2 linked regions of the Bombyx mori genome follow. The protein of the gene in region 1 interacts with the protein of each later gene in a biochemical or structural test. Links are inferred from orthologs where the notes say so. Each region holds a gene or a part of one and is shown in the gene's direction. Other genes may lie near its edges.

Evidence for each region. The genes of interacting proteins can lie anywhere in the genome.
Region 2: the proteins of WW domain-binding protein 11 (region 1) and polyglutamine-binding protein 1 form a complex in vitro, tested with the Homo sapiens proteins (2 studies listed by BioGRID and IntAct, with this or other methods). The link is inferred for Bombyx mori from reciprocal best matches to the Homo sapiens genes WBP11 and PQBP1.

What each region holds. Positions count from the first base shown.
Region 1 is NC_085117.1:15,104,985-15,108,357, forward strand, and holds the end of WW domain-binding protein 11, read left to right. Parts: intron 1-2,192; coding exon 2,193-2,401; 3' UTR 2,402-2,873; downstream 2,874-3,373. UniProt on the Homo sapiens protein: Activates pre-mRNA splicing. May inhibit PP1 phosphatase activity.
Region 2 is NC_085131.1:6,064,026-6,067,226, reverse strand, and holds polyglutamine-binding protein 1, read left to right. Parts: upstream 1-1,143; 5' UTR 1,144-1,422; coding exon 1,423-2,241; 3' UTR 2,242-2,701; downstream 2,702-3,201. UniProt on the Homo sapiens protein: Intrinsically disordered protein that acts as a scaffold, and which is involved in different processes, such as pre-mRNA splicing, transcription regulation, innate immunity and neuron development.

The sequences.
Region 1 (3,373 bases):
GATGATGCGGCGGTTACAGTTCTCTTTACGGAGTTCAGAAACGACCTATGGCAAACAAATGCTAGCATACCATTCTGCATTAACCGTGCTTTGTCCCTCAAGAGGAATAGTCTTAACATGACCGGTTTTGGAGACAAACGTGGCCACCATTTTTTTTGCAACACTCCGTGAACGAACAATTTTTGTTGGCTTTAACTCATTTTCGAACATCCAAACTCGTGACTGGTTTTTTGTTTCGGGTTCGTACGCGTATATCCAGGATTCGTCACCTGATACAATGTTGTATACAGCATTTGAGGATCCTGCGTGGAATCTTTCGAGAGTTCTGACGCACCAAGTAACGCGAGCCGCTTTTCGCTCTTCACAGAGCGAATGCGGTATCCATCGGGAAAACAACTTTTTTACACCTAATTGTTCATGCAAGATTATTTGTATTTGACTCATGCCAATCTCTAAAGTTGCCTGAATTTCACGGTATGTCACATGTCGATCTTCCTCAATCAGCTTACGCACAGCATCAACGTTTTCTTGGGTGACTGCAGTTTTTTGACGACCTTGACGGGGATCATCACTGAGGTTGACACGTCCACGTTGAAACTCAGCAAACCAGCGATAAATTGTGGTTTTGGATGGGGCTTCATCACCAAATGCATAAATCATCCGGTCAACACACTGTTTTTGTGTTAAACCACTTCGAAAGTCATAATAAATAATCGCTCTTGAATTTTCTCGAGTCAATTCCATTTTCTCAACGACTAAACAAGTTTGACAAAACCTCGTGACAAGACCGAGAATCTTTTTTTAAATAAATAAATGGTATTCGATTTTTAAAACCAAGGAGTTTTCAATTAAAAAGATTTTAATATGACAGGAACAGTGGAAATATTCCATTCCCGATACTTTTAGTGCAGCCCTCGTATTGCAAATAACATTTTTTACTTTTACAGTGTGTTAGTTTAATACATAAATATAAAACAATTTAAAGTATAAAAAGCTTATTCGAAGTGGTCTCCATTGGCTGCAATACAGTTCTTTAAACGTTGAGGCCAGTTATCAACAGAAGCACGCACTCTTTCCATGGGAAATTTTTTCACTGCCAATTGCTTTAGGGACTCCAAATTATCATGGCGTTTAGAGCAAGCCGTACTCTCTAAACCTCTGACCATAAATCATAATCCAGCGGATTAAGATCGGGACTAGACGACGGCCAGTCTTCAGCTCTGATGAAGTCCGAAACGTTCGTTTCCAACCAAGTCTGCGTAGACCGAGCCTTATGACCTGGCGCCGAATCTTGTTGGAAGGACCATTCTTGATTATTGAACATGGTATTGTTAAGGGGCTTCACTACCTTCTCAAGAATGGTATCTTGATACACTTGTGCCGATGTTTTGATACCTTTTTCACAAAAGTATGGCTCAGTCACTCCTTCATAGCTAATACCCCACCAAACCATCACTGAAGTCGGATAGTGCCCACGTTACACTCTGTCGACTAATTGGGAAGCTTCCTTAGAGCTTTGAGCATAAATACGGTCATTATGTTTGTTAAAATGTTGCTCAATTGTAAAAATTTTCTCATCCGTAAACAAAATTTTTCTATGACCTCCCTTTGCGTACCGCTTCAGTAGTTGTTTCGATTTTACCACCCTATTCTCTTTTAAATTATCAGTTAAGAAATGACCAGTACGTCTCTTATAGGCTGCAAGTCCTGAGTCATCTTTTAAAATACGCGACATGGTTCTACGTGGACGGCCAGATCTTTTTCTGTCACAAACAGAGGAGGTCTCATTGCACCTATTAATAGCCCGGTACACAAACATTTTACTAATACCAAGCGTATGGAGAGTTTTAAAAATTACATTTGGCTCCATACCTACTTTATGTAATGCAATCACAGCGATTCGGTTCTCTCTATCAACCCACTCCATTTTAATATCGCAAAATATTGTACAATGTATTGGCGCCAAAATGAGAAAACGCAATGAGCAATCATATAAAAATGACAGATTCCAAATTCAAATGTAATAATTTGTTTATTTTTAATTGTAACAGTATTTATGGCCAGACTAAGTATACCTCTAAGAGGTATCTTCGGTTTCGTCTTTCCCGCCGCGTTGCTACCGGTGACCTATATATAAGGCAGTCAAAGGGCTAATGGACAATTAACAATTGGAATCTTCAATCGTTTTACAGGTGCGACTATAAGTGCGAAACCTCAAATAAGGAACCTGTCGGCCGACGTTACGAGATTCGTGCCGTCGGCTCTGCGAGTGAAACGCGAGGACAAGAAGTCTAAACCGATCAAGTCTAATGTTCACAAGCCGACAGATATTCCTAAACAGGCTCCCACTAAAGACGACGCCTACTCACAGTTCATGAGGGAAATGGAAGGACTTTTATAAGCTAAATGGATAGGTTTACGTTTTGAGTACCACAACGCAGATCGAAACAGCGTGCCTTTGAAATTCAAATAGTAAATTTATAGTAAAATTAAAAAAAAAGTATTCAAGCAATGTCCCATTTATTTTAATTTTAATTTGGCAAAATTTGTACTAAATATTATTTAACAAAATTCTCTTTTTAAATTTTAACATAGAATACCTACAAACCGTGTTTGTGTAGTTAATAATCTATGGATAGCACTCGACGTAATTTGGTACTACGAACTGTGTGTATGAAATATTTTTATTGAGAATTGCTTGTGGCATTAATTATGAAACTGAAGTATTTTATGAAGATATAAAATGTTCATGGCAGATGACAACTTGGTATGCAGCGCTCTTCGTAACGGATTTTCTGTCAGTCTTATTTGTAAATAAGTGTTAAAAATAAAGTATCTTTCAGTTCGAATAAATAGTACATTTAAGTACGGTACGAGTATTGTTTTTTTTATTTTTCTAAACTAGGTTTTAGTATTAACTAAAAATATCTTGACAATAATAATTGCTTTAAATAATCTGTAGAAATATTGATAAAGAGGGGTCACACAGGTGTATGGTGTGTAGAAACCCGCTGAGTTTCTTGCCAGATCTTCCCAAATTCCGGTAGTTGATTCAAATTCGCGAAGCAGCTACTCTTGAGCTATTAGGTCTCCTTTGGAGGCGCTCGGGTAGCTATTAGAAAATCTTACCACTCCAGGTTGATCCCTTACCCGTCCACCTGTCCTGGTAAAACTGGAAAAGCCTCCGGCCCAACAGTAATATCTCAAACATAAAAAAGCGCGCATACTATACACGCAAGCACGTCATCGCTAGTGGCTATTCGTATCACTGTTGCCCATTGAGTTGCGTCGATGTCTCTTGCGGATACGCCACGTGCGTGCTTGTGACGTCATCAAGCCGCGCATCGTAACGAATTGATCCTGCATTTTGACA
Region 2 (3,201 bases), on another chromosome or scaffold:
GTAGGTGTCTATGGGCTCCAGTAACCACTTAACACCAGGTGGGCTGTGAGCTCGTCCACCCAACTAAGCAATAAATTAAAAAAACTTCGAAGTGTTTGTTGCATTGGTATAACTGCCTTGTCAGACCGCCACCGTTAAAAATTTTTTGCGACAGAAACTGGTAATTCTCAGTCGTATCGTGAGTCAGGGACTTGGGAAAGATTTGGGATTGGAATAGATGAAGATTTGCATGAAGTACAAGGAATTAAAAAAATACCTGATGTGAATTTCAACCTTTGACCAATTGCGGGTTACTTAAGTGATGTAATTAATTTGTTTTTCAGAAACATCCAGAAACAGTATAATATATTAGGTATACAGATACACGGTTAGAATAACATTCCCAAACGGATATAAAATATGCTTTACTCGTAATCGTTAAATAGTATTGGGGAGGGCAGATTTGATGTATACGTTTGCGATGACCTGCCATCTTTCCCTGCTCGAGGTCATCATATTGTTCTCAACTAAGAAACTAGTTGAATTATAATGACAATAACCTAGATTGAATCATTTTTGCAGAGGTATCAGAGTAATGTGATTGAATAATGCTGTCAATTTTACTTTTTGTGAAAGCTTTTTGAACTCTAAAGAAGGAAAGAGTTAACGCTATAGGCTTAGTTCTTATTAACATTCATGTCACTTTTCCTTTAGATTAAGTGTTTTGACCTTCTACAACAAAGTACTTAAACTGTATGAGCTGTTTCTTTGGCCTGTACCATTGTACAATTAAAAATAAATTTGAAATGAAACCACAATGAAACCAAGTTCATGTTGTAGCTTCTCGGGATTCTCCAGAAAGTCCACTAAAAGTCATTAAATAAACACCATTTTACCGATATTAAATTTCATCCCATATCTCATTTTATTTAATTTCATGCCAAGTGATGAGTGTTCCAAATTAATCGACTTCCTTTCATTTTGCCTCCATATTATCATTTTTCATTATAAAATATACTAGCGACCCGCCCTCGCTTCGCTTCGGAAACTATAATTTATTATTGATATCTCCACTATTTAATGGATGTTATTATACATATAAACTTTCTTCTTCAATCACTCTATCTATTAAAAAAACCGCATTAAAATCCGTTGCGTAGTTTTAAAGATTTAAACATACATAGGGACAGAAAAAGTGACTTTATTTTATACTATGTAGTGATAAAAGATTAGGATATATGGTTATGATACCTTTGCCTTTCCAGTTGGAAAAATAGAACTGCTACTACTACCAAGTTCCTGTTGTTGTTGTAGATGTATAATTATGTGAATTAAGAGTGATTTTACCTAGTTTTCATTACGTTATAACGGGAATAAAATCAGCGAACACTCAAAAACGACCAAAGAAATATCAACGCTAGGCAAGATATACAACACAGCGAAATGCCTTTACCGCCGGCGTTAGCTGCTCGTTTAGCTAAAAGAGGTCTTTTGAAACAAAATGCAGATTCCACCGCTGTCGCATCTGTTGGTCAAATCAACGAAGAAATAATTGCAGAAGATTATGATAGTAAGCCTAACGAAAATGGAAAAGATGAGCCTTGGGAAGGCTTTGTCGATCCTGTCAAAGGCCATCGAGGATGCCCTAATAAAAGTAATATTTATCATGAATGTTCTACTTTTTGTATTAAAAGATGGAAGCAAGGTAAACTGGTACCGACTGAGACATATTTAGAACACAAGGAGAAAGTTTTAGAGCTATGGCCCTTGCCACCAGGATGGGAAGAAGTGTTTGATGAAGGTTATGGTCAACATTATTTTTGGAATGTGCACACTAATCTGGTTTCGTGGATACCACCCGGACATCCCCGTGCTGTGCCTACGGAATCTGCCGCACAATTGCGCGAAGAACGTCTGATGAAAGAAGGCGACGAAAGTGATGAAAGCAGTGAGGCCTCGGATCAGGAAGTTCCGCAGATTCAAAAAGATAAGAAACCTGATCGCCGAGAAAGAGAAAAGGAACATTCACATCATAGAGACAAAAAAAGGCTCAGGGTCAAAGATAATGACTTGGATCCAATGGACCCAGCATCTTACTCTGATGTACCTAGAGGTAATTGGACATCAGGTTTAGATACACATTCTAAAACAGGTGTAGATACCACAGCCTCTGGTTCACTCTATCAAATGAGGCCCTATCCAGCACCTGGAGCAATACTTGCAGCTAATGCAAAACAACATTCTCCACCACCTTCACCATAAGACTTTCATTAGATTGTTTGCTATTATAATACGTAAACTCAGACCTGGCAGTTTTCTTTACATTAACCAAATTAAATGAAATGGTTAGCTGCACTTGTTGTTCTTAATGAATTTGGTATGTAACATGTTTAATTTCTAAATGGGTAGAGCATGTAACCTACCCATTTGCAAGTCTTTTTAGCCTTCTCTGACATTTCTGAAGTTTTATGTATTTCTGCACGAAAGTATGCGAAGTAACAATTTATTTTTACAAAAATTCTTTTTTTATTACCCTTGTATGTAGAAGCTCTTGCTTACTATTAAGTACTCTCAACAAACCTTTTTTGAATGCCTGGCAAAAAACAATATTTTATAAATAGGTAATAATAGTCTTAGATATCTCATAATTCCAGATTTAGGTGTCAGTGAAATCAGATGCACATAATTTACAATACAAAGTAAAAAAAAAAAATTGTTGAAATTATGGTATTTTATTTAAACTTTTCCCATTGTTATTCCACAAATAATATGTTTTATGGACAGAATACAAACTGCATTCCCAAACACACCATTAACTGACGTTAGGCAGCAGTGTCTTTGATTGTTCCGGTTGATATTCACAGTGTAGGTACATATTTTTTATCAAATATCCAAACATAATTGCATTAATGACAAATTCAAGATGTGTAGACAGTTGAGCATACAGCCCATCTGCTGGCGAGTGGCTACCGTCGCTCTTGGACGCACCGCCAGGAACACAAGACAGGCTGTTGCCTATCACTGATTATTCTCCACAAACGTCATTTGAAGTTGGAGTAAATTATAAGTTTTAACATACAGACAATCAATTAAGTAAATGTGCTCTCACAGTATAATATCTTCCCACTGCTATATGAAATATAACTAGGTTTTCGTACACAAATTATAAGAGTTATTTAATAGGTAGAAATAATGAAATAAAATTCGTTGTGCAATTTTTTA